7 linked regions of the Mus musculus genome follow. The protein of the gene in region 3 interacts with the protein of the main gene of each other region in a pairwise test. Links are inferred from orthologs where the notes say so. Each region holds a gene or a part of one and is shown on either strand. Other genes may lie near its edges. The genes, in order: Sap30bp, Slc25a46, Fhl3, Kirrel2, 1700007K13Rik, Theg and Dcdc2b.

What was found.
Region 1: the proteins of Fhl3 (region 3) and Sap30bp interact in binary tests that used the Homo sapiens proteins (3 or more experiments, as listed by UniProt). The two-hybrid records come from large-scale screens. The link is inferred for Mus musculus from reciprocal best matches to the Homo sapiens genes FHL3 and SAP30BP.
Region 2: the proteins of Fhl3 (region 3) and Slc25a46 interact in binary tests that used the Homo sapiens proteins (3 or more experiments, as listed by UniProt). The two-hybrid records come from large-scale screens. The link is inferred for Mus musculus from reciprocal best matches to the Homo sapiens genes FHL3 and SLC25A46.
Region 4: the proteins of Fhl3 (region 3) and Kirrel2 interact in binary tests that used the Homo sapiens proteins (3 or more experiments, as listed by UniProt). The two-hybrid records come from large-scale screens. The link is inferred for Mus musculus from reciprocal best matches to the Homo sapiens genes FHL3 and KIRREL2.
Region 5: the proteins of Fhl3 (region 3) and 1700007K13Rik interact in binary tests that used the Homo sapiens proteins (3 or more experiments, as listed by UniProt). The two-hybrid records come from large-scale screens. The link is inferred for Mus musculus from reciprocal best matches to the Homo sapiens genes FHL3 and PIERCE1.
Region 6: the proteins of Fhl3 (region 3) and Theg interact in binary tests that used the Homo sapiens proteins (3 or more experiments, as listed by UniProt). The two-hybrid records come from large-scale screens. The link is inferred for Mus musculus from reciprocal best matches to the Homo sapiens genes FHL3 and SPMAP2.
Region 7: the proteins of Fhl3 (region 3) and Dcdc2b interact in binary tests that used the Homo sapiens proteins (3 or more experiments, as listed by UniProt). The two-hybrid records come from large-scale screens. The link is inferred for Mus musculus from reciprocal best matches to the Homo sapiens genes FHL3 and DCDC2B.

The regions. Positions count from the first base shown.
Region 1 is NC_000077.6:115,961,159-115,964,658, reverse strand, and holds part of Sap30bp (SAP30-binding protein), read right to left. Parts: intron 3,304-3,500; coding exon 3,243-3,303; intron 2,921-3,242; coding exon 2,869-2,920; intron 2,166-2,868; coding exon 2,107-2,165; intron 717-2,106; coding exon 632-716; intron 449-631; coding exon 267-448; 3' UTR 1-266. UniProt on the Homo sapiens protein: Plays a role in transcriptional repression by promoting histone deacetylase activity, leading to deacetylation of histone H3.
Region 2 is NC_000084.6:31,582,798-31,585,930, reverse strand, and holds part of Slc25a46 (solute carrier family 25 member 46), read left to right. Parts: intron 1-2,161; coding exon 2,162-2,740; 3' UTR 2,741-3,133. UniProt on the Homo sapiens protein: Transmembrane protein of the mitochondrial outer membrane that controls mitochondrial organization.
Region 3 is NC_000070.6:124,699,373-124,703,498, reverse strand, and holds the start of Fhl3 (four and a half LIM domains protein 3), read right to left. Parts: upstream 2,801-4,126; 5' UTR 2,648-2,800; intron 103-2,647; exon of another isoform or gene 1-102. UniProt on the Homo sapiens protein: Recruited by SOX15 to FOXK1 promoters where it acts as a transcriptional coactivator of FOXK1.
Region 4 is NC_000073.6:30,447,516-30,451,015, reverse strand, and holds the end of Kirrel2 (kin of IRRE-like protein 2 precursor), read left to right. Parts: intron 1-115; coding exon 116-214; intron 215-506; exon of another isoform or gene 507-537; coding exon 538-638; intron 639-1,113; coding exon 1,114-1,179; intron 1,180-2,561; coding exon 2,562-2,897; 3' UTR 2,898-3,250; downstream 3,251-3,500. UniProt on the Homo sapiens protein: May regulate basal insulin secretion.
Region 5 is NC_000068.7:28,463,525-28,467,534, forward strand, and holds the start of 1700007K13Rik (UPF0691 protein C9orf116 homolog), read right to left. Parts: upstream 2,801-4,010; 5' UTR 2,746-2,800; coding exon 2,510-2,745; intron 2,490-2,509; exon of another isoform or gene 2,427-2,489; intron 1,692-2,426; coding exon 1,613-1,691; intron 1-1,612. UniProt on the Homo sapiens protein: Microtubule inner protein involved in the attachment of outer dynein arms (ODAs) to dynein-decorated doublet microtubules (DMTs) in cilia axoneme, which is required for motile cilia beating.
Region 6 is NC_000076.6:79,584,337-79,588,515, forward strand, and holds the start of Theg (testicular haploid expressed gene protein), read right to left. Parts: upstream 2,801-4,179; 5' UTR 2,731-2,800; coding exon 2,444-2,730; intron 2,015-2,443; coding exon 1,895-2,014; intron 1,640-1,894; coding exon 1,568-1,639; intron 1,119-1,567; coding exon 1,057-1,118; intron 425-1,056; coding exon 355-424; intron 1-354. UniProt on the Homo sapiens protein: May be involved (but not essential) in spermatogenesis.
Region 7 is NC_000070.6:129,611,473-129,615,475, forward strand, and holds the start of Dcdc2b (doublecortin domain-containing protein 2B), read right to left. Parts: upstream 2,801-4,003; 5' UTR 2,786-2,800; coding exon 2,535-2,785; intron 349-2,534; coding exon of another isoform or gene 297-348; exon of another isoform or gene 1-296.

The sequences.
Region 1 (3,500 bases), on a different chromosome or scaffold from region 3:
ATGCCAGGATCCAAGAAGCAGTACTTTTAATTGGGTGAAACCCAAGAGGTGTCTGGACAAACCCTGTCCAGTGCACACCATTGCCTCTGCTGTAATGTCCTTCCGGCTGGAATGTCACAGAGGCTCCTCTTGGAAGGCATGTGGGGAGTGCATCTCAGTCCTAAACACACAGAGTGGCACCTCCCAGTGGGTGGAAGCTACTGGACTGTAGTCCTGCCAGGCCTGGGGTATCCTCTGGTCACTGCCAGTCCTGGGGCATCCTCTGGTCACTGCTTGGCCTTCTTCACGATGGTGCCCACAGCAGAGATGACGGTGGTCTTGGAGCCACTGGCACTAGTGGTGACAGTGACCACTGCTGGCAGGGTGGCTGTGGTGGTGAGGATGGTGGGCTGTGCTATTGTCGTCACGGGGATGGCAGAGTCCCACTTGCTCTTCCTCTTCTGGGCATCTAGAGGTGACACAAGAGATGGGTCAAGATCAGCACCAACCAACAGGACCCAGAGGCAGGCTTAGGTCCAGGACCCCAGAGGGGAGCGAGCTTGGCACAGACCCTCTCTAGACAGACCCAGGAACGCCCTGCTCTACCCGGAGGCCCCGAGGCAGTGCAGGGGACGGGACGAGCAGCCTGTACCTGCGACAGCTGTGCTGGCAGTACTGGTGCTGGTGGCCGTGGCATTGGTCGTGGTGCCTTTCTTGGTGCCCGTTACAAACTCAATCTGGAGGGGAGAGAGGACAATGAGACCACTGCAGAGGCGCGTGTCCATTTCCTGTGTTGTCCGTCTGTCTGCTCCCAGGGCACAGGAGTTTGGCATTACACACAAGAGGCCCTGAAACCCATCTTGGCTGGGAGCACCGGGGAGAGGGGGAGATGCCTGAGGGGCTTTCATCACTCTTGCAAGAACTTTCCCAACAGATGTGGGATCCCTCCCAGCAGCACAAGTTACTGCAATACCTGGCACCCCTGCCCACTGTCCCCCTAAGCCAGGTGCCAGGCCTCTCCTCCTCCTCACACCCGGAGGAAGTGATACTACTGCACAGGACAAGGACAGGTGTGGTCTCCAGACCTTCAATAAAGCTGGGGTTTGGAGGGAGGAGGAAAGAGCAAGAAGGGAGGAGATTCGCTTAACGGTTAAGAATGAGAAACTTGGGGCTGGAGAGACAGCTCAATGGTTAAGAGCACCGGTTCTTTTCCAGAGTTCAGTCCCAGCACCCACATGGTGGCTCACAACCATCTATAATGAGATCTGACTGCCCTCTTTTGTCACACAGGCATACATGCAAATAGAGCACTCATATACATAAAATACATACGTAAATTTTTAAAAAGGACAAGAAACCTAGCTTCTTCCCTCCCACCCCTCCCACATTCTTGGCTACAAAGCCCTCAGAGAGGGCCAGCAGCACACCCGGCCTTGCAGCCCGCAGCCTGCAGGAGAGGGAGTATCTTGTGGGTCACAGCTGCTGGGAGGAATTCAGCCCTACACACAGGAGGAGGAGGTGTCCTGATGTCCAGCTAACAGTCTGGGGATCTGAAGCTCCTGAAAGAGTCCCTCTGATGACACTGCTACATAAGTGGCGCTTGGTGTCCAACGTGGCAGCTTATGTGGGACTCTCAGAAGGAAGACCAACTTCTGATCAGGCTGGGGAGGCATCAAAGAACTCTAAGAGACAAAGCCACCAGGGCTCTGCAAAGGGGGATAAGGAAGGAAGGGCAGGATGCAGGGAACGCTGAGTCTTCCACAACTGAGCAGTGGAGATTTCTATAGCTGAGTCAGGGGTTGGGCACAGCCATCTGCTCATCACAGAGGCCATGGCCAAGGCGGCTCAAAGCCTCACTAGACAATGAAGAGCAGGGTGAAGGGAGCCTGGGAAGCCTGATTCTTCCACTCTGCCAGCAGGACCTGTGCACCCCACAGCAGTCCACGCTACATACAGTCCACACCCCCAGCAGTCCATTCTACCCCCCGCAGACCACCCCACACAGCACCTCCACCCCCACACAGTCTACACCCCCAGACCATCCCCCCACAGCCCACCCCACAGAAGCCCCCCTCCCCCATCCATCCCTCCCCCACACACCATGTCCACCCCAGGGGCATCACTTACTTTGGTTCGCTCCTTTTTGGCCTTTTCTAATTTGTCCATTTCAATCTTCTGGGCCTTGGCTGTGGGGACAGACAGGCTGCTATGAGCAGTGTATGACTGGGGAGGTCACTGCCTTGACCTTGCACTCTTTATACTGGCCTAGAGGTGTACACGGGCTCAGCAACCTTCTGCACTTGGCAGGATCAGGTGCTAGGCCCTGGTCAGCATGGACCATGGGCCTGGACCAAGGCTCTGTCACAGGGGCCGCAATCCTAGGGAAGGGTAGGCTGCTCCTGACCTTAACAGTGGGAACTACCGTCCTACTAAGAAACTCAGATGCAGACTTTTATTGTAAATAAAAATACTGGTAACTAACTCAAAATAAGGCAAAACTTGTAAGGGCCACACATACGTGCACTAAGGAGCCAGGGCTTGGATCACAAGCTTCTGGCTTGTGACGGGGACTTACAGGCTCAGGCTCTGAAATTACTCCCAGTTCTCTGAGCTGTGGTCACTGGCCTTAGAACACACACGTCCTCTGCCTCGAGCATTCTAGCCCCTGGGCCTCTCCAAATCTTAGCTCTAACAGTCTCCTCAACAGGGCCTCCCCAGTCCTTTGGCCAGGTCAAAGGTTTCCGGCTGTACCACACTTTGCTCAGGTTAATTCAGCCCTGTGGGCACTGCCTGGCATAGAGACCCTAAGTTATGGTCACCTAAGTCACTGACTGGATGGACAGACGGATGGGTGTGTGGATGAGTAGATACAGAGAGCTAACAGGTTACCTAATGCCTCATAGTAGGAGTCTTCAGACCAGCCGTGGGGATCGAACATATCCTGGAAAGAGAAGGTTAAGTTGCAGTCAGAGCGACCATCAGTGCACAGGGCCCAGACACGGAGCTTCCTAGGGCAGGGCCCCGGCCCTTTTGAAGGCACAGGGCTTCAGCTGGCTCCCTGACCACCAGGCCCAGAACCAGGAAGCTCCTAAGAACAGAGAATGAGCTCAGCTGGTGGCAGGGGCAGTGGGCCCACTCCTGGCTTCTAACTGGTTAGGACCCTGAGACTTCCAGCAGTGCTGCTCCGTGGACCTTCTATGGCGTGCAGTCACACTCACTACAGCAAGCTCCACCGCTCTCCGGGCTCTGAGTATAGGACATACCTTTGGGTAGTTGGTGCCCAGCTCATCAATGGCACAGAACTGGATCAGTTTCTCGTAGATGCTGAAAAGGGAACAGAAGAATCCATGAGCAGGTTCGGTACTGGTCCCATATTCCTGTATGGAACTAGAACCACTGGCTCTGCGAACAATGACAAAGAGATGAAGCCTCTAAACCCAGCTCACTTCTACCAACACAGCAGCCTCCAGATGGGACGCCTGTCTCCTCCTCATGTCTGCTCTGCACCCTCCTCAGAGAGG
Region 2 (3,133 bases), on a different chromosome or scaffold from region 3:
AATATGGGTATGTTGTGGTCCCTGCATTGTTGATTTTTAGTGGTGGTGCTTGTGTTCACAGTATTATGTATTTTAATAATTATGACTTTGTATTTCTTTACACACTCTCCCTGCTATGCTGATTTTTCTATTCATCTTGGAATATAGCATCTTAGTTACTGTTTTATTGCTGCGAGGAAACAATATGACCAAGGCAACTTATAGAAGAAAGCCTTTAATTGAGGACTTTATTACAGTCTGAGAGGACTAGTCCATGATTCATATGGCAGGAAGCAAACAGGTCTGGCACTGGACCAATAGCTGAGAGCTTTTCATCCTGATTTGAGGGCAGCAGGCAGAGGGAGAAAAAGAGAATGAGCCCAGCCCACCCTCAGTGACACAGCTCCTCCAACAAGGCTACACATCCTAATCTTTCCTCAAAAGTTTCACCAACTGGGGGCAAAACATTCAAACATATATGTGCCTAAGGGGGTCATTCAAATCACCATATATTGATTTCTGTATTTTCTTTAGGTTTGGCTTATTGGATATCAATTTTTTGGATGTTCAGTTTATATCATAGAAAGTTTTCTTCAGTTATGACAGTTTTGCTGGGTATATTAGTATAGGTTGTCCATTATAATCTTTTAAGACTGGAAATGTGGAATGGATTGCTCCTGAGTCTTCTGGCTTTCAAAGTTCCCACTGAGTTGTTATTCTGATATAATTTTCTTTGTATGTAACTTGCTTTTTTTTTTTTTTCATGCAGCTTTCAATACACTTTCTTTGTTATACATTCTCTTAACTAATTTTCTTTTCTTCTGTATGTTTGGTATTCTGTATGCTTCTTGTATCTGTATGTGGATGTCTTTCTTTAGTTTGGGGGAAGTTTTCTTCTGTGATTTTGTTGAAGATCAGATCTATGTCTGTGACTTGTAATCTCTCTTTCATTTTTGCCTATAACTTGTAGGTTCATGGTGTTCCACATTTCTGGTATGTTCCTTCTCTGTGTTTAATTTTTTTTTTTAAATATTTTGCTTATTTGATCTAGATCCTGTGCTTTTTATCTTCAAGTCCTGATATTCTCTGTTCTATTTGATTTATTTTTTACTAATAAGAGTCTCCTAACTGCAGTTTGAGCCTTTTTCAGTGATTCTATCTCCTTATTGAATTCTGTTCTCAGGTCCTGGATTGTCTTAATCATTTCTGTCAGCTTTATGTTTGTGTTTCTTGGGCATCACTAAGGTGTTTATTCTCCTTAAGCTCTTTCTCCTCAGTTTCATTGAGTTGTTTCTTTGTGTCTTCTTTAAATTCTGAAGCCTTTGATGAATTTTATGATTATTCTTTTAAATTCTGAATCCTTGGGTTTACCTAGGTAATTTTCCTTTGCAAATATTAATATATGACCAGTAGGTTTTAGAAGATACTGGCTTGATCTTTCATATTTTGGAATTTTTGCAATGGGATCTGGTCATATAGACTTCTTTCCTTTGGTTAGTTCTAAGTCTGATATGGACTGAGTAGGTTGAGGTAAAAGCAGGGATGTCAGCACAGGTTTGTCCTAGAGGTTGTAAATGGTTTGGGTGGAAAAAGATCAGGACTCCTGTTGAAGGGACTGGGATGGTAGACAAAATGTGCTTCTTGGTCTAAGCCTGAAGTGTGGAGCTTGATGCACATGGGTGGAAAGGTTGGTCATGGCATGGAAGGGGGAATAGGTAAAAAAGAGTTGCATAGTTGGATGAGGAACCAAAGGGACTTGTAGGTGGTTGGTGGTAGAATATGTCCTGCTCATTGCTCTTTATGATATTTCTTTTGAAAAAGAATATGCTAATCTAATCTCACAGCTGAAGTTGGCAAATCATGGATGTTTTTCTTCTTTTGTGAATACATTTATCTCAAAGGGATATAATAACTATTTTCTACAGCAATTTTGTAAAAATTATTAAGTTGATGGGTCTGGAGAGAGCACTCAGTGGTAAAGAGTACTAATGACTCTTCTAGAGGACCAGGCTTCAGTTCTCATCATTTCAGTTCCAGGAAATCTCATGACCTCTTTTGGACCCTGCAGGCAGGGCACACACATGGTGCAAAGACATACATGGAGCAAAACAACCATATACATCAAACAAATAAATCTTTTTTAAAAAATATAATTGTACCTTTTTCATCACTTATGTTTCAGAGTGAGATAATCCGAGATAACACTGGCATTCTGGAATGTGTTAAAGAAGGAATTGGACGAGTGATAGGCTTGGGAGTGCCTCACAGCAAACGCCTTCTTCCACTGTTTTCATTGATCTTCCCAACAGTGCTGCATGGAGTTCTTCATTACATTATCAGCTCCATCATTCAGAAGATTGTCCTTCTAATTCTGAAGAGAAAGACCTATAACAGCCACCTAGCTGAGAGCACTAGCCCCATGCAGAATATGTTGGATGCCTATTTTCCAGAACTTATTGCGAACTTTGCTGCCAGCCTTTGTTCTGACGTTATACTTTACCCACTGGAAACAGTTCTGCATCGTCTTCATATTCAAGGAACACGCACAATTATTGACAACACAGACCTTGGCTACGAAGTACTTCCAATTAATACGCAGTATGAGGGAATGAGAGACTGTATAAATACCATAAAGCAGGAGGAAGGAGTGTTTGGTTTCTATAAAGGGTTTGGTGCTGTTATAATACAGTATACACTGCATGCAACCATCTTACAGATTACCAAAATGATTTACTCCACACTTCTTCAGAATAGCATTTGAGATTTAGGTTCTATGATTGGCTGAACCAAAAGATGTTGGATAATTTGCTATGACATTTCAAGTAATAAAAGTAAAAATACTGCGCGGAAAGAAATAGGCTGGGAATTACCACTGGTGGAAAACCTCATGCTAATTATTCTGACTTTTTATTTTTCTTAAGGCATAGATATATAGATATATAGATATATAATACTGGGTCAAACCTTTCCAAAATTGAAAACTCAATAAAGGTAATACTTTAAATTTAAAATGTAAAGTTACATTTTAGTATAACACTCATGCTGAAGTAAAATTGATCCTGGGGAGAAACAAAAAATGTATCAAGTATAAAATGAAATTGCAATGACTTGAATCTGTTTTACTGACCTTACTATTTGTTATGTTTGTTTAACT
Region 3 (4,126 bases):
TCCCAGTCCCTATGTCTCTAATGAGGACAGAGTGAAGGGCACCAAGGCCCACTTGTCTCCTATCTCCTCCCAACCCCCCTTCCCCCCACAATGCCTGGCAAGGCTGGGGGACTAAAAGGGTGAGCTAGGAGACAGTTTGTATTCCTGGGAGCAGGTGGGGGGTGGGGGAGTGAGGGGGCTGGAGGGGTGGGGAGGTGAAGGGGTAGAGGAGTGGGGGGGTAGGAGGGTGTGGTTTAGAGAAGACAGTGGCTCTTCCAAATGACCCCAATCTGCTATTTCCACGAACACACATTATCTCCATACCTGACTTAAGTAAGACAGACAGACAGACAGACAGACAGACAGACACACACACACACACACACACACACACACACACACACACACACACACACAGGGCTGGAGAGATGGCTCAGCAGCTAAGAGCACTGACTGCTCTTCCAGAGGTCCTGAGTTCAAATCCCAGCAACCACATGGTGGCTCACAATCGCCCGTAATGAAATCTGATGCCCTCTTCTGGTGTGTCTGAAGTCAGCTACAGTGTACTTAAGATATAATAAATAAATATTAAAAAAAAAAAGACACACACACACACACACACACACAGAGTGAACTTCTCAGAGCTGAGTGGCAGGATATCTTTCTGTATGGTGTCCAGTGGATAACAGCTTGCTTGAGTCACAAAAAATACACCTGACTTGAAATCCTGTGACCTTGGGTATACAGTTTTCATTCCCTGAGAGTATAGGTGCAACCAGTTAAATGAGATACTATTACTACCTCCCTCTCCTAGGACAGCTGTCAAGCTAAAATGTGATAATCCCCATGACAGCTTCTGTAATAAGTCTGTAGTAAACGCTAATCACTGTAAGTAAACGCTAGTCACTTGTATTTTTACAACAAGCCCCTCAACTCCTACTGGAGCCAAACAGTGGTAGTCTCAGGTAGGCCCGAAGCAAGAGTTAACCTGGGATGTGACCTTGGGAGTCTTAGTGAAGTCTGAGGGAACCACTGGTACACATCGTAAGCTCTAGCCCAGCCAGTGGGATACCAGGGTGGGGTGGGGGGGACTTTAAAGACCTTAGAGATGGTTAGTTCCCAGGAGCACATACTTGCTAGATTCCTTGTCATCTACAAAATACACACCCCACGACCACTGCATCTCAGCTTACGAAAAGGAAGGACAGAGTATAGGTCCCCTTTAGAGCTCAGTACAAGATACCAGGGGCAGGCTAGGGGCATGGCCAAGGCTGTTCAGCAATTGGAGCAGAAGTGTCCTATCCATCAGAGGGGAACTCTGCCTAGAAATGCTTTGGTAGTGGTGGAAGGGGCAGTCATCCTTTGGGGGGGAGGGAGGGCGAACAGGAGATACACTAGAGCTGGCTGTCTTCCCCGGCTGCCAGCCTGCCATTGGAAGACACCCAGAAGTCTTTCCAATTACCCATGCCAACTGCTCAACCCTTTAGTATATCCCCCTTCCCCGCCTCCCGCAACCCCCCCCCCCCGCCCATCCCAAGTCCAGGAGGACCCTGGCCAGACCCCACAGCTGTAACTCAGAGAAGACCCCTCCCCCTTGACAAGAGACTTAGGGGAGAAATTAGAGCCCCCCCCCAACCAGGCACCAATCCCAAACTCTCCACTGCCCCTCTTCCCCACAGGGCCTGGAAGTCAAAGCAGTTTAGGGCGAAGGGAGCAGATCCTGCAGCTGCTCCGAGAACAGGAGAGGGACATTTCATTCACCCCAGAGTCCCCTAGGGCTGAAGCAGAGCGTCCAAGATTTGAGTTTAAAAATAAGTTGGCGCTGTCTTAGTGGCTGTGTGTGTATGGGGCTCTCTCTCTCTCTTCAGCTCAGCTTTACAGCCTCAGGTCCTCTGCCTCCTGGGGGATGGGCTGGCTAAGAGTCAATTTCCCCCTAGCCTTGCCTCCACCCTTTCAAGCCTGGGGCAGCTGTCAGTGAACACACTAGGTGTCTCTCCTCAGCGAACTCTAGCCTCCACTCCGTACCTCTCAGTACCCTTGAGCTTAGTCAGTACCCGTCTTTGTGTTTGGGTGAAGGTGTTCCTGTATCTCTGGAGCTGTGTCCCAGTAGGGCCTCCACTCTGGGGATCTCTATCCCTGTTCATATCCAAGTCTTGGTCTCTCTCGACGTCTCTATGTCTCTGACCTGAGAGTCTCTTTAGGCCTCCGGGAGGCAGATTTAGCGCTAGTCTAACAAGCTCCAGCCTCGGGGCCCTCCAAGGCCCTGGGAAGGGTGCTAGCAATGAGTTCCCTGGGGCCATACATTTGCTTCTTAAAATGCTCCCCAGAACCCGGGTCCCCGCCGTGCCTCGAGAAGTTCATCCGGCCATTCTCTGCCCTCGTTGGAGTGGTCCCGGTAGCCTCCTGGGGCGCGCGTCCTTGTCTGTTCTACCAGGCTCCCTAAGAGCCTCAGTTTCTCCAACCCTGCTGATCTCTGTAGCTTTTCTAGTTCAAACTTGGTCCCCACCCCTTGCAACTCTGGCGGTCCCCGCCCGGCCGGGAGGCGCGGAGCGGTGGGGTCCGTGCAGGCGCGTGGGGTCCCGAATTCGGGATGCCCCAGCAGAAGACAGGGGTGAGGGGCCCAGAGAGCGACCCTGGTCCGAGCGCAGCTGGGGCGGGGGACTCTCACCTCGAAGCGGGCGCGGGAGCTGGGCGCGCGCGGCGTGGGTGGGGCGGGAGCCGATCGCCCGGCGGCTCCTACCTGTGGGCCAGGCGGAGGGGGGCCGAGAGAGCAGCGGCGAGGTAGCCGGCTGCGACTGACTGTGTGGGCGAGTGGGCGCGCGGCCCTAAGCCTCCGAGGAAGTGCTCGGGCCCGCCCCGCCCGGACCCCGCCCCCGGGCCCCCAACCCGCCCGCAAGGGCCAGACCCCGCCCCCTCCTGCCTGCGGCGAGCCCAGCCCAGTCGAACCTGGTGCTCTGACCTCCTCGACCACTCCTTGCTCGCCCCCTGCAGCTTAACCCGCCTCCTGCGCCCTTCGGACCCCGGGGGACGGCTGGAAGCGATCTCAGGCCAGGGGTGCAGAGCTCCTAGGACTAGCTAGAGTCCATCTGGAGACCAGACCTCCCTTCCTCTTTTCCCTCTAGCTCATCCCCAGATGTTACACTAAACCTTAGCTTGGGAAGGAGGCCTTAATCCAGCCGGCTGGAGGCGTGGTTTTGATTCTGCCTTACCAGCGGAGATCAAGGTTTTTTTTTTTTTTCTAGAAACTTGGGCTAAAGAGAGCGAGCCTTTATCCTCCTCAATTTCAAAGGGCTTTATTCTATAAGCGACTGGCGAAAGCACAGGCAACAACCTCCCCATCCTCAACTGTGCCCTGGCACTGAGGTTTCTATAGTGCCCAGGAATAGTTTTGACCTTTGAGGCTCAGGGAGACCCTAATCCTCGGCCTCCCTGGCTTTGGGTTTCTCGAGAGGGTGTGTGAACAGTGCGAGTGGTTGGTGCAGGCAGGGGTGGTTAAGAAGGGAGGGAACTTGTGCAGTTTTTGATCCTCCAGCTTCTACCCTATTCCGGGAAGGGAGGACTAGTGTCTGCCAGGGACACGAGGCCCATCCAGGTCCTTGAGGCCACCCCCCTTGGGATCCTCAGGCTTGTCACTAGGAATAAATAGCCTTGATCTGGAGGGCGGGGTGGGGGTGGGGGAGCTCTGTTGTGCTGTTTGCAAAACAAGAGACAACAAACTAACCCTGGTAATAACCTTTGCGTCTCGGGGATGATTCAGATGTCCAGAGAGGCCCCCCCTAATTCAAGGCTGCATCCAGCCTTGCTAGCATTTTGGGGATTAAGACCCTTCAAGGCTGGTGTGGCGCCTTCCCTTCTGTATCAGGGGTCTGGTTGCTAGGTCCTAAGACAGCCTCTAGGCCAGGTTTTCTTTCAGAGTTAAAGGATTGCTTAAATGTTGTTGATTCTTAAATTGCAAATGCCACGAGGGCAGAGGTTGGGTCGGTTTTTTTTTTTTTTTTTTTTCACTACTGCATTCCCAGTATCTACTCCAGTGTTTGACCTGCAGTAAATGAGGGATGAATGTCACACACTGCTTTCATTTGGACCCCCTGCCACTCCCTGCCAGGCACCTACTATCAGACAGTCTGAGGGTGAGCCCTTCCTCTGG
Region 4 (3,500 bases), on a different chromosome or scaffold from region 3:
GCCCACTGTACACACCCCATCTGCTCCCTACAGGCTAGCTGCCCACACTGTATACACACCATCTGCTCCCTACAGACTTGCTGCCCACTGTACACACCCCATCTGCTCCCTATAGACTTGCTGCCTACTGTCCGGATTGTGGCTGGTGCAGCATCTGCAGCCACCTCTCTCCTTATGGTCATCACTGGAGTGGTCCTCTGCTGCTGGCGCCATGGCAAGTATCAGTGCCTTGAACTTGCCTCAGTCCCAACCCTACTCCTCTCCATCCCCTGTCCAGGCCCATCCCCTTGATTGACACCCTTGACTGACAGCCTTGGGACCTGGCTCCAATTCCTGGCTCCCAATGCTTGCATGGGCTCATCTTATCCCTAGTCCTGCTCAGTTTCCTCAGGGTCACCCCAGCTCCGTCCCATCTCTCCCAGGCTGGAGTTCTCCATGGTTCCCAACCTTTGTAGCACACTTTGTTCAGTTAGCTCTGTTTTACGTACTGGTCACTTCCCCCTTACCAATGAATGCCTCTCACGTCCTGGGCCTCAGGCTCTCTCTCTAAGCAAAAGAACTTGGTCCGGATCCCAGGAAGCAGCGAGGGTTCCAGTTCACGTGGCCCTGAGGAGGAGACAGGCAGCAGTGAGGACCGGGTAAGATTCTGGGCCTCCACATTCCCAATGTACTCCCAGACCAACATAATAACCCAGTCCAACCCACCCTCAAACTCAAGTATGGCCCTAGGCTTTTTGTTGTTGTTTGAATCAGGGTTTTTCTATGTAGCCCTGGCTGTTCTGGAACTAGCTATGTAGACCAGGCTGGCTTCCAAATTAGATATCCTCCTGCCACTGCTTCCTGAGTGCTGAGAGTAAAGGCATGTACCATTATAACCAGCTTGGCCCCAGTCTTAAACATGATGACCCCAGATCCACAGTATCCTCACAATTGCAAGTGTGTTTCTCCACAGTTATCCTTGTGGCTCAATGTGCTCTCACAGCCTTCCTTGTTGTTAAGTCTAGCCTTCAGCTCTCTTCTCTAAGAAGGCCATGAAAGACTAGGAACTGGCAGAGGGATAGATCAGATGATCTTCTGACCATGGCTTATCACTATACCCCACCCCCATTCCAGGGTCCCATTGTGCACACCGACCACAGTGATTTGGTTCTTGAGGAAAAAGAGGCTCTGGAGACAAAGGTGAGTGTTGGGGGAGGAGCTCACTCCCAGAACAGCTCTATGGAGACAGGGTCTCCCTGTAGCTGGCTTTGGACGCTGCACAGTCTTTCTCCTGAAGCCAGCCACTGGATTGCTGCGGTTGCAAGCTTCAGACCTGAACACATTTGGCAGCTTCTCTGCTTCTCTTCTCCTTTTAACTCCATCACCTTAAGACCTTTGCCGGGCGGTGGTGGGACAGGCCTTTGCAGAGGCAAGAGGATCTTTGAGTGACAGGCCAACCTGGTCTACAGAGTGAGTTTCAGGACAGCCAGGCTACTCAGAGAGACCCTGTCTCAATAAAGATAAATTAATAAACAAACTAACAAATAATATATAATATAATATAATATAATATAATATAATATAATATAATATAATAAAACTGAATCAAAAGGGCAAACAAGTGAGGGAGAGATGGGTCATCAGGTAAAGGCATTTGCCAAGCTTTATGACCTGAGTTGATTATGATATGGTGGAAGGACAGCCAGGGATACACAGAGAAGCCTTGTCATTAGCCTCCCTCACCCCCCCCCCCCAAAAAGACCTGCCTTTAACTGCACTCTCACCTCCTGGGCCAGCTCACCAGCTGCAACATCAGCTTCTGTTGTTGATTCATTTTGCCTTGGATTCTTCTTTCCCCATCTGCCATGTTTTATGCCTCTAAGTCTCTCTTTGTTCAGCTGCTACCTTCCAGACATCCTTTCACGATGTCCCACCCTACCCTCAAAGACATCCCTACTTTGGAATTCTGTCTTAGGACAGACACATTGATTTCAGCCCTGGTTCCCATTCTAAACCCCCCCCCCCCCCCGTCCTGACTTTTCCTTCGGACAGACTCTCGAGCATCCCAGGAGGGCCTCAAATGGAGTCTGTAGCCAGGATTGATCATAAGCTCCTGGCTGTCCTCCCAAGTGCTGGGATTAAAGGCTTGTGCCTCCACATTGACTCTGTGTAGTACTGGGAATCAAACCAAGGGCCTTGAGCAAGCTAGACAAGTGCTCTACTGACCGAATTACATCCCTAATCCTAGCTAAAACTTTCTTGTCTATACTTAAGTGTGTTTTTCTCTTGACCTGAAAGCCACTCTTCCTTTCGCCCTCCCTCCCTCCCTCCCTCCCTCCCTCTCCCATCCTCATCTTCCTTCCTCCCCAATTTCAGTCTGACCTCACTTGTTCTAGGAAGCCAGCACCACGCCACCATCTCCATGCTGGTCTATAGCTCTCTGTCTGTGAGTCTCTGGCTCTGCTCTTTGGCTTTCTGCCTCCATGCCTATCTCTAGATCTAGCTGTAGCTCTGTGTGTCTTTCCACCCATGATCCTTACCTCTCTACACACATTCCTTACCAAGTCTCATTTGTTCCTCAGGATCCAACCAACGGTTACTACAGGGTTCGAGGGGTCAGTGTGAGCCTTAGCCTTGGGGAAGCTCCTGGAGGAGGCCTCTTCTTGCCACCGCCCTCTCCGATCGGTCTCCCAGGGACTCCTACTTACTATGACTTCAAGCCACATCTGGACTTAGTCCCTCCCTGCAGACTGTACAGAGCGAGGGCAGGTTATCTTACCACCCCCCATCCCCGTGCCTTCACCAGCTACATGAAACCCACATCCTTTGGACCCCCAGAATTGAGCTCTGGAACTCCCCCCTTCCCGTATGCTACCTTGTCTCCACCCAGCCACCAGCGTCTCCAGACTCATGTGTGAATCCATCTCTCCAAGTGAAGGGTCTTGGAATCTTCTGTTTGCCATATAGTGTGTTGTCCAGATTTCTGGGGAGTCAGAACAAGTTGATGACCAACCCCTCCAAAACTGAACATTGAAGGAGGGAAAGATCATTACAAGCATCAGGACTGTTGGTGTACACTCAGTTCAGCCAAAGTGGATTCTCCAAGTGGGAGCAATATGGCCGCTTTCCCATGAGAAAGACATTCAAGATGGTGACTAAATGACTAAATACTTTGCAGAGGGACAAAGATGGGAACTAGGGATATGGATGGAAGTAGTAGAGAAGATATATGACCATCTGCATCAAGAGAAAGGATAACATAAGACAAATCAAGATGAAAGAAATAATCCACACCCCCCCCCCCACCGCGTCCTGGCCAATAAGTATAGCCTACATGGCTGTTCATTATCTGGGAACCAAAATGGCCACTATCTTGACTCCTTCCTTAAAGATACAGAAAGAATTGAATCCAAGGAATGGGGTAGGGTGGAAATAGAAGAAATGAAGGGGACTCTTGGGCTAAGAATACTTATGTTTAATAATAAAAGGGGGAGGCAAAGACGCAAATGTGCTTGTGAAAG
Region 5 (4,010 bases), on a different chromosome or scaffold from region 3:
TTTCTCTGTGTAGTCCTGGCTGTCCTGAAACTCACTCTGTAGACCAGGCTGGCCTCAAACTCAGAAATCCACCTGCCTCTGCCTCCCAAGTGCTGGGATTAAAGTCATGTGCCACCACTTCCCGGCAGCACTCAGTTCTTGCTGAGTGTGGCCACTGTGAGTCCGGGAACTCCAGTGATGACAGGGGGACATGTGGTGTGTGCAGACCAACCTCCACCAGGTAGTAGTGTCCTACCTGTCCTCAGACCACCCTGGGCCAAGATCACCTGATGTTTTCTCTCTTTGGCAGGAAAAGCAAAGAGAAATTATTTCAGGCATTTTTCAAGAGGCAAATTTGAGATCTCCTGGGAAACTGAACATAAAATATAGTGTCCAAGTCCGGGTGTGGTAGAGCATGCCTTTAACCCCAGCACTTGGAAGGCAGAGTCAGGCGGATCTCTGTGAGTTTGAGGCCAGCCTGGTCTACAAAAAGAGTTCAAGGACAGCCAAGGATGTTACTTACACAGAGAACTCCTGTCTCTGAGAAAAAAAAAAAAAAAAAAAAAAAAAAGTGTCCAAATACCATTCCAATGCACACAGCTCCCCCTATTGTCTGCATGGTGTATTGCAGGTGGAGCTGATGGCCAATACCTGAGCTGTGCACTGAGCACTGGGGCCTGCCCGCTCTTGGCTCTGCACAGTCAATGCATTCTGACAGTCCATAATAATAAATATCCACCAGTGCCGTAGCTGACAGAATAATACTAAGAGTTGCTCACAGGGTGCAGTGGACTGAGTCAGAAAGCTGACAAGTCAACCCCAGAGAACAGGACTAAGAAGCACGGAATACCTACCCCCTAGCTTGCCTCTGATACCCGCGGCTTGTGGCCCATGACCTGCTAACCTGGGTGAAAGCACCACTGTTGAAAAGAGCAGCTTCTTCTCCGTGGCCTTTTACAAAGGCAGAACAGAAACCAGGGGTGTGGCTCAGTGGACAGATCACCACGTCTAACGTCTGCAAAGCCCTGGCACTGCACATCTTTTAAGCCAGCACTTTCGAGGTGCAGGCAGTTCAAAGCTTTGAACTGATTCAGAACTAGCCCTGGCTAACTTGAGACCAAAGGCACTTATTACCAAGCCTGGTGAAAGGAGAACCAGCTCTTACACGTGGCCCTCTGACCTCCAACCACGTGTGGCATGGCGTACCCCCACACAGAGACAAGGCGAATGTATTTAAGAAGGTATGGGCAGCAGTTCCCATGTTCCTGCTTCCCACAGAAACACCTTGCGTCTGATTTTGGAACACAGACTCTTTCCGTGGACAGGCTCTTCCGAGGAGTTCTGCCACTCGTATGAACGCTTGACTTCACTAATTGGCCTTCGAGTGCCCGGGCAAAGGTGTGCGTGCCTGTCTGATGGGGAGGAGAACGTGGAAGCAAGTTTACTTGGACTTTCCTGTCTACAATCTATTCTGCTTTGAAATTGCATTCTATCATCTCTCTGCCCCGCCTTGTCCTAACTCGATTTGAGGTGCCATGCATTTACAACGTGGGACGCTGATTCCCAACTCTGACTCCTCATAAGTCTGCTTTTCCAGATGGCCCTCGTCCTGGCAGGCCTGGCTTGCACTTACTGGCATCTCATGCACCGTGGGGGCTCTGCTTCCGTAGGTTTGGTTACTGGTCCTGTACATGGAAACAGCTTCCTTGGTCCTGTGGGAGAGAGATGCACTGTTTCTCACACATACTCAGAATAAGTCAGCCAGGTCATAGCCTGGAAGAATTTGATTGATGGAACTTTATTGTCCCTGACGGTGGCAATACCATGTCCACGGGGCTCCCACTGAGAGCACTCTCTCCCAGCAGACCTTTCTCTCTGGCCTCCTCTGCTGGCCATGGCCCCTGATCTTTCCAAAGGGAAACCCTAGAGAACACCCAGCCAGCAAATGCTGGCGGAGGGGTCTTGGTGGGACTTTGGCACAGACTACCACTGCCAGGTATGTAAGCTACCTCGGAGACAGCGTCTCAACTTCCAGACCCTGGAAGTCCCTCTGCTTTTGAGCCCCAACCTTACAGAGGCCAAGCTCCTGTCAGGAGGGAAGGAGGTAAGAAATCTAGTTTGTGAGACTGTGGCCTGTGATAGAGGCTACCAGCCGCTCTTCTTCACACCCGAGGCCTCAGCAAGTTGTCTTCTTACTCGTGGAAAGGGAGTGTGCCTGCACCAGCTTCACACAAGTCAAGAAGGTTTCCATCCTTACTTCCCCGAAAACCAGGCTGCCCTGTAAGGTGTACAGCTTTCAGGGAAGCTTTAAAAATAGAGACATCCCCTGCCTGCAACAAGGCTATATTCACACACGTTCACTCTGTGGTTGCTCAGACAGCAGGACCCTAACAGTAATGATGACACAAATAAAGGTTCATGACTGGCTCCTTTTGACCTCAGTAGCCACAGCCACTTGAGAGTTCTCAAACACATGGCCAAAGCTAGGGCCGCCCTGCTGCATGAAGAAGGTAACCTCAGTCTTCCTTACCCGTAGCCATGAAACCACCCCGGGTTGTTGAACCTGACTGGGAGCTTCTCGCTAATGCGGTAGTAGTCGCTGGTCTTCTCTGGGGCAGGCTTAGCCTTGGGCTCCCCCGGCTCCGGCTCCTCTGGGGCAGGCTTAGCCTTGGGCTCCCCCGGCTCCGGCTCCTCTGGGGCGGGCTTAGCCTTGGGCTCCCCCGGCTCCGGCTCCTCCGCGGACTGTTGAGGTTTTTCTTCAGACATTTGGCCTCCCGCAGGAAACTAGCCCAGATCAAGTCTGTGCCTGCTGCGGCAAGGCGTCCTGTTGCTAGGCAATGAAGTCACCTGATCAGGAGGTGGGGCGGTCTTTTGTAGGTTGCTTTGGCTAGCAGCTAGCTGTAGGCAAGTCTAGAATCTTCCCGAGGGCGAATAACAAAGGAGACCGTAAGTTCTAAACAAGGAATTCCAAGCTTCCACACGCTGCTCCTCAGGGAGATCCGCTGACCTTTTTCTGGGACTGTGGGAACATCCTTGTATCGTCCCAAAATGCACTAGGAGGCAGATCCTGGACGAATGAAACCTTAGAACCTGGGATTTCACCAGCCAATAGGCAGGAATTAGGTGCTTCCAATCTCTGCCTGAGCAAGTACAAGTCTGTCGTTTACTGTCCTGGCCATGGCCTCTATCACCCAATACCCCCACAACTCAGCCTAAATCTAGATGTGAGGTGCTGCTAAATTTAGGGAATCCTAGGCCATATATTGGTGAAATATAAAAAATGATCTTGTGAACCATGCACATAGTTCAGCATTAATGACGTGCTAGCGCAATGCCAGGAGGCAGATCTCTGAGTTCGAGGCCAGCCTGATTTAAAAAGAGAGTACTAGACCAGTCAGGAGTATATAGTGAAACCCTGTCTTAACAACAATAATAAAAATAAATAGTAATTTTAAAACAAACAATAAAAAATTACTTAGGGCACAGTGTGGTGGTGTGCACCAATAATTCCAACACCCAGGGGACAGAGGCAGTCAGATCTCTATGAATGTCTGGCCAGTCAGGGAGATTGTTGTTGTTGTTGTTGCTGTCATCGTCGTCGTCATCATTGTCAATGTCATCGTTGTTGTCGTCATAGTTTAATGTAATTTGGGGATGGAGAGATGGCTCAGCAATTTAGGGCATTCATTGCTCTTGTAGGGAACCTGGATTCAACTCCCAGAGCCTACAAGGTGACTCATAAACACTTTTAACTCTAGTTCCTGGAGGTCAGACACCTGCTCTCCACAGGGACAAGGCACTCACAAGGTACACATACATACATGTAGGCAAAAAATAAGTAAAACTAAAACAAATGTTAAAAAATAAAAAAAATGCATGCTGGAGCGACGACTCAGCAGTTAAGAGCACTGACTGCTCTTCCACAGGTCCTGAGTTCAATTTCCAGCAACCACATGGTGGCTCACGACCATCTGTAATGGGATCTGATGCCCTCTTCTGGTGTGTCTGAAGATAGTCACAGTGTATTCATA
Region 6 (4,179 bases), on a different chromosome or scaffold from region 3:
ATAGCATTAACACAGAACAGGGCTGCACATAGACACAGTGGTGGCACAGGTCCTGCCTCAGCCATCAGTGTATAGTAGAGACAGCAAAGGTTTGCCCAAGGGGCCCTTCAGAAAGCATGAATGCCCTTCAGGTCCGTCCTCTATAACCTGTGGTCACGAGTGCCAGTGTCACTCATGCTGATCAAAGTCAGGCTGATAGATCACCGGCGGGTGTCATCCCCTTGATCCCTGAGGTCAGACTGCTAAGGGACATTGGCTAGACCTCTTGAGACTCAGCAGCCAGAAGCAGGGCACATTAACCCCCTCTCAGAATGAAACAGGAAGAGGTTCTGCGCCTGGCCGCCCTCCCCCTACCTGTTATTGTTGTAATATTCCTGGTAGAACCGCTTGGGCCTCGAAAGCTCCTCCATGCGCTGGGACACCACTGGACAGAAATGACCTGGTCACCACAGCTACCCTAGGCCCCAGCAGGACCCACCCTCCACCCCAGGGTTCTACTCAGCCCTCCACAGGTCCAGGCACAGGGCACAGGCTAGAGACATGGGCAGACACTTGGCCAAAAGTGTCCCCAGCCACAGGCATAATACAACAGACAAGACTGGCTCCTTCCTCCCCATGGTTAAACCTAAGAGGCTCGTAAACTAGGTTTTTGTCTGAAGTTGGTGCTGGCCTAGGATTTCTAGGGTTGGGGCAGGGCATGGATGAGACTAGAGCCCCAAGAGAGGTCATCCTTGGCTACACTCATCCACAGAGGAGCTCTTGTTGGGGTCTTTATTTGAAGGAGTCTTTATGCTCAAAGAAGATGGATCCCATTTGGGAAGGAAGGCAGGATCTCTGTAATACAAATACTAGCCCTGCCCAGATTTGCCTTAGGGACTACCCTGAACCCATCTCCCTGCAATCCCACAGGGTTCCAGCCACTCAGAGAGGTGGGAAAGGACTGGAGTCCTGAGAGTGGCCTGGGAAGGTGGCTGGTAGCCACATACTGAGCAGAGCCAGCAGGCCCTGGACCAGGCAGAGGACACCCAGGCTGCCCCAGAGAGAGACAGAACCTACCAGGGACCGTGATGGTCAACGTGGTGTCCTCGATAAATCGCTCGGTCCAGTATACAGAAGGCCTGGAATACAGCCGAGCAGCTCAGGGCAGGGTGCCCTGTGCCCTGTGCCCAGTGCCCTGTCCTCTGCTAGGGAAGGGAAGCCTGAGGCCCTGGAACAATGGACAGGAGGCTGGGGAACCAGGAAGCACAGTCGGGGGAACAGAAGGTCAGGCTGGATTAGGGCAGCGAGCACCAGGGGAAACACAGATTATCTAGAGTGAGGCCCATGTTCCAAGATGGAGCACATGAAAAGGCCAAGTGCAGCCTGGAGAGCTGGGCCCCTCAGGTACACAGACACAGCCCAGCAGGCCTAATGCACAGCAGGAAGACAGAGGCAGGACAGCCCTAGCTCTAGAGCCCTCCACCCCTGCAACTTGGTCCCTGGAGAGAAGGCAGCTCAGGTGTATCCTTGGAGCTTGGCATGTCCCTGACATGGACAGGTGACAGAGGGAGGGGACACCCCAACTCACCAATACAGGCAGAACTGCAAGTTGGTCTTGCGTGGGGAAATCCAGGCATAGCCCTTACAACAGCGCCCCGTCCTGCGATGAGACAGGGTCCCAGGCCCTGCCTTTGCCTCTGGGTCCCCACTGGCTCCCAGATTCCTCACTGTCCTCTGGGTACCACCCAAGGGTCCCACCTCTGGTGCCTTGCCTGGTGCCTCCCAACAGTCCATTTATTCTCTACGTGTCCTGCCCAAGGTGCCACAGGGGTGATGGGCTGGTGTCCGGGTGTCAGAAGAGCACAGCAGGCTAGGTCACCTACTACCTCACCACCTCATGGGCCCCAGCCCTCACCTGTCTCTCAGACATTGCCAGTTGGTCTTAGGCTTCGCCAGCTCCAGCAGCCTCCGGCTCCTCTTTTTCCTGCCCTTGGCTGTGGAGACACTGGGAGTCCGCTCAGTGATGGACAGATGGCTGCAAAAGAATGTGGCATCAGGGCCTGCTGGTCCACCCTGACGTGTCTTGGAGCTTACAGAGCAGTCTTGCTCCCCTACCAGGAGCCTCCGGTCAGCTCTGAGCCCCTGGAGCAGTGGACACTGGGTGTGTTTGCTGTCACCCAGGCCCCACACTGTCCAGAAACTGAGCCCTGAGCCCACGGAACCAGAAGTAGCCAGCTCCCACCTCCTGGGGCTGTTGGGAGAATAAACACGACATTCACTTCTCTCCCTAGTGTTTATTGAGGACCTGGAGGAGGACAGAGCTACGAGTAGCGTCCCTTGCCTCTGGGAAGCTGGGGGTGGGGGGGTCTCCAAGGGGAAGGACAACGAAGGTGTCCAGGATAGACTGGTGTGTTAGCATCTGCCTCCTTGGCACCTACCTGCCCACTGGGTCCCCAACACCCACCTCATTTCAACCACTTCCACCTCCAGGTCTTGTTGAAGAGGACCATCCAGATTGGAGGTCTCCGGGAGCTCTTCCCCAGCCATCTCCTCTGGGGGGATTTCCTCCTCTGGTTCTTCTGAGGTTCGCCCTGTAGTGGCCTTAGAGCCCTGCAACCAATGGCTCCCAAATGGCTCGCTCTCAAGGTCCAAATTGCCATTGTTCTGTCCCTGCTTTAACTCTCCCAAAGTCTTGACCTCCGGGATTGGGTTACTGAGCAAACTGGCCCGGTGTTCACCAAGTTCCCCCATGTGTACTGCCCCTCCTAACCCTTTAACCTCACTCCCTCCCTCAGCACCCAAATGGACCTATGGTTGCCACAGCAACAGAAGAATGCCCACCCATGGATTCCGAGGCCCCATTCCATCCCAGTGTTGGAGCTAAGTCTGAGGTGCACAGCTCAGGACTCCACCCTTCGTGTCTTTCTTTTGGAGTGGGAGACAAGAGGCGACAGGGTCTCACTATGTAGCCCAGGCTGGCCTCAACCTCCTGAGTGCCGAGATGACCCATCTGTGCTGGACTTCAGAGTTGAGCCTGGCTTCAGTTCTCACAGAAGGGTGTGCCCCTCCAGTGGGTGGGTTTATGGACTCCACAGGGATTTCTGGGCAGAATTTTTTCTTTTCCCTTTAAAAGAGCCACAAGAAAGAAACCACATCTCTGCTTCCTGGTTATGATTGGGCTTATCTTTAATGTCTGTTGCTCAAGCAGCCATTCTGTGACCACAGGGCCTGTTAATCTGATGGCAGGTGAGCTTCCAAACATAGCACCCTCATAGATGGCTCTGGCTTTCTACTTCTTCCTCTGGTAGCTGACTCTCAGGTCCTCACAGCTCAGGGTCCTATGACACATGCAGACTCTGCCCTGAATTATATAAGGAAGTACCTTCCGAATATACCACCTTGCATCTTACAATGAGATGATGGCTGTGACAGAGGGCACTGCCAACACACCCCCATTTCCAGCCTGAGCACGTGGGGAGCTGATAGAACAGAGGACCGTGACCCCCATACCATGGCTGGAGAGACTCCATCTCTACTCTCACTGCTTTTACAAGAGTAGGATTGAGATGAGGTCATGGAGGCAAGTGGAAGGGGCAGAGTCCCAGAGACCAGGGCGATGAGGAAGTAATACCTTTCCAAAGCTCACAGCTAAGGGGCCAGATGCAGGGTGATACCCAACCTCTGACACGTGCTGGCTAACCTTGACTGTCATCTGAGACCAGCCTGGCTGGAAGGATTAAAGGGAGACCTTCCCCCAGAGTGGCCAGTACTTTCCAATATCTGCTCAGCTATAGTAAAGTCTAAGGGGAAGGCCGTGTTGCCTCCTGGCCTTTGCTTCTTGCTGGTGAGTGTGTATACTCTATTGTCACCTCCACTGCTGCCACCTTCCTTCACTGATATCAGAACCCAGATTTTTTTTCAACTTTCCAGGGTGGACTGAAGACCAGTGGTTCTCTAGGAACCCTCAGGCCTTCAGTGACAGATTGGGACTGCTAAGGTATCCAGCCTTATAGACTAAACAGTTGCCAGGTAGTCAGCTGCTGCACAGGGTAGGCAGTCACTACTGGACTAGGCAACCCATATCCTCCTGAGAGCCAATCTAATAAATGCCTTCCCTTCTGATATCCTGGAGAGCCCTGGCTAACACATGAAAGGTGGTGGAACTAGAGCCATTGCGGACCCCAGGGACTACGGAGGTAC
Region 7 (4,003 bases), about 4.9 Mb from region 3:
CTTTCTGACAGGAGCATCTGTGCTTCCTGGGTCACATAACTCCTGTCTTCTGCCCTTGTGTCTTACCATTTACTTATTCCTTTGGGGACCATGGCCTGGAGATTACGTAAAAGACTGGGACTGAGCCAGGGATAGTGTCCTCAAGTCCCACAACCCAGGACAGCAGCAGGTTCTAGAGTGAGTGTGATGTGCCCCCTGAAATCACAACTCTTGCTGCTTCCAGAACCCTGTTCAAAATTCGAGCAGTCCCAGGGATGGGACGAGAGAGGCTACAGACAGTGGCCCCCCAGACTTACATGTTGTTGCCTAGTCTTTCCACCTGGGTGTTTCATTCCAGGAGGCAAATAGCTGAAAGGACAGATAGGTCCTAGGTCACCTTAAGAAAGTGTAAACCTTTGCCATCCAGGTTTATACCCATCAAAGCCAAGACTCTATCATCATCATGGCTGCTCTGCGGAGTCTATTCTGCAGGCTGACCTTTCCCTTGACAACTTTGCAATGGGTATGGTGGCATATGCCTTTAATTCTAGCACTCCTTTGACTAGGCATTGGTGGCACACACCTTTAACCTCAGATCTGGGAGGCAGAGGCAGGTGGATCTTTGTGTTCAAGGGCAGCCTGGTCTATGGAGTGAGAATTAGGACAGCCAAGGTTATATAGATAAGAACCTGTCTCAAAACAAAAACAGTCCTAGCACTCCAGAGGCAGTGGCAGGGGGATCTCTGAGCTTGAGAGCCGCCTGATCTACCTAGTGAGATCCAGGCTAGCCAGAGTTAGAAAGTGAGACTGAGATGGGAGGGTGGAATTTCCCCAGGTTAGCCTCTACTCTGAGTGTAGTGGAAGATGATCTTCAACTTCGGACCCTCCTACCTCTGTGTACCATGTGCGAGGATTATGGGCCTACAGTAGTTATTAGCCTGCCTCCAGATTCTTTCATTTGACCTCCTGCCCACCCGCCACAGCAAACAGTCATCTCTTCATACTTCTTCCTGGTACAGCTAAACATCTGACTCTCCCTTAGGCTGGGACTGTCCTCTGCAGGGTGAGGCAATCTTCCAGTAGCTTCCCAGCATCCTAAGCATCCCTCCTCACTGGAGCACTTTCTTTTTTTTTAAAGAAAGAATTATTATTATACATAAGTACACTGTAGCTGTCTTTAGATGTGCCAGAAGAGGGCATCAGATCTCATTACAGATCCACCATGTGGTTGCTGGGATTTGAACTCAGGACCTTCAGAAAAACAAACGGTGCTCTTAATCACTGAGCCATCTCACCAGCCCGAGCACTCTCTTTTTGAACCAGGAATGTAGATATCTGAGCCTGACTTAGGGTCTCTGAGTACCGAGTAAGGCTGTAAATTCAGGTGGACTTTAGGTACACCACGGTTGGAGGCCAAAGGCAAGCATGAAGTATCTTACTTTAGTCCAGAAATTCCCCAGTCATGCATGAGGTGACTTTTTTTTTTTTGTATAATAGTCAAAGAAGCGACTTTTTCAAGATTACACAGGAAGTGACTGAGTCCAGACACCTTGTTCCTTCCCTATAGTAAACTCCTCCACTGAGCTCTCAGAGCAGACGTGGAGGCTCAGGCTGAGTTGGAAGCTCTGATCTCACTGTTCTCCTGCTAAGGAAGACAGTCTCATCTTGCACAGTCTCATCTTGCAGAGATGACCCTAATCTAACAGGAGTTTCAGATGCTAAGTGGTAGGCACATTTAGTGTCTGGTGATGGTGGGGATTGCAGCAGCAGCTCAGGGCTGCAGACACAAAGCTATTTTGTTGCCAAGCCTGACCACCTTAGGGCCTACATGGAGGAAGAAAAGAACTGACTCTGGCAAGGTGTCCTGACCTGTGCACAAACCATAATGAATATTAGTACGCATACACACACACACACGTGCGCGTGCGCGAGGCTGGAGAGAGCTAAGCAGTTAAGAGTACTTACTGCTTGCTTTTCCAGAGGATGAGTTGATTCAGCACTCGGAAAGCAGAGGCAGGGAGTTGCAGGCCAGCTTGGTCTACAGAGGAAGTTCCAAGCCAACCAAGGCTATACAATGAGACCCTGCCTTAAAACAGATTTTGGGGGGAGGGGTTTATGAGAGAGTTTCTCTGTGTAGCCCTAGCTGTCTTGGAATGCACTCTATAGATCAGGATAGCCTCCAAATCAAAGATCCAACTACTTCTGCCTCCTGAATGCTAAGATAAAAGGTATGTGCCACCTACTGCCTAGCTTAAAAAAATGTAATTACTAAACAAAAAACACCCTTCAGAAAGATGTCCAACTTGCAGAATTGTCCCCACAGGTTTGTCCTGGCTGTGATGGACATACACCTTAGTAACAGAACTTAATCTGAGTTCCAGCTCAATTTATTTGTCTACATAGCCTCTGGCTAGTTTCTCAGTGTGATTCTGCACTCTGGTAGTGCAGTCTCTCCCCAGGCTTTGGAAAAACTAAGCCTGCTGACTTGAAGTACTAGATACACTATTATTCCCACCACTCTCTACAGGCACTTTAGCCAGCCCCAACCCACTCACTGGATCTTGTGGAATCGTTCAAAGCCAGCAGCCACATACTGTCCTCCGTTCTGTAGGTCAGCCAAGTTGGTAACAGGGTGGCCATCACTAAGTGTGTAGAGGACACGTACAGCCAGCGGGGCTTGCACAGCTGATGTCACCTCATAAAGCAAAGCCTCCATGGTGGGGTAGCGGCGTTGGGTCACCACCAGCTGGTGGCCTGGGAAGAAGGCATCCCCATTTCGATACACCAATATCCTCTTGGCTGCCATTGTATATCCTCACTCACAGACACAGAGCTGTTGCCAAGGAACTAAGAGTGGGCTGGGAGTTGTGCCAAAGGTAGAGTCCTGCCCTCTTATCCAGGAAGGCTGTGAGCCCCTTGCATGGGAGCATTTCCCTGACCTCAGGGCCTCAGGAGCAGGTTGGCGTGATCACTTTTTTGTTTTGCAAAGTTGGGATCAAACCCCAGCCCTTGTCCAGGGTGGTCTGATCACAGGATGAAAGGAAGACCTCGGGCCCTGTGAGAGGGAGATGTCCATCTTCTCCAGGGCTTGGGCTCCTTTGAACAGCTGAGACAGAGGGCAATTAGCCTGGAGCCTGTTACCCAAGGAGGATGGCTGACTTCTTGGCAGCCCTGCTCGCTGGTTCTGGGGATGATGGTCCAGGTCAGTGGGAGGTGACCCAGACAGCCCAGAATCTGTCCTGATCAGAGGCAGGAGATAAAAGAAGAAGGGCTAAGAACTTTCTAAAGCCTGGTCTGACATTCAGGTAACTGAGGAAAGCATCAAAGTATGGGGTGCGGATTGGGGTGGGGTCATCGCTAATAGCAGCCATAGAGGCCTCGATGACAGTGGTTGGCAATTTACAGGTCAGCTCTGCTGATGGAACAAAACTTAAATATCTGGGGCTGGCAAGAATGCCCAGCATGAAACTCAGACCTCTTAAGAGGCTGGTCAGAAAGAAAAGATAGAAAGGTCATGCACATCTACACACACATACACAAATACACACACATACACGCACACACACAATCTGGCTGGGCCTGACCACCTGTTTCGTCAATTTCACAAGTGCACATGAATACTTATATACATACACATATGCATGTACATATATATACATATATTTGTACATATATGTTTATACATAATATATATATTTATATTTGTTGGGTGGAGCAGAGCCCCAGCAGCCACACTTTTTTCTCAGCTTTTTTATACCTTCTTAGACAAAAGTTCTTTATAAAATTACCCACAGGTAAAAAGTTTACACAAATGGAGTTACAGAAGGATGTTGATAGTCAGTTCAAAGCAGTGCTTCGTTCTACAAGCTCATTATAAGTTCAAAGCAACAGTTTCCCATGGCCTTGCTTTATCCTAGTGCTCACCTGTGGCTTCATCCTTGGACCTGGCCTAGGATGAATGGTTTTCCTTGATCACAAATCTGTCCAAAGCCCATTTCTCTTTTTCCCACCACCCCCAGGATAG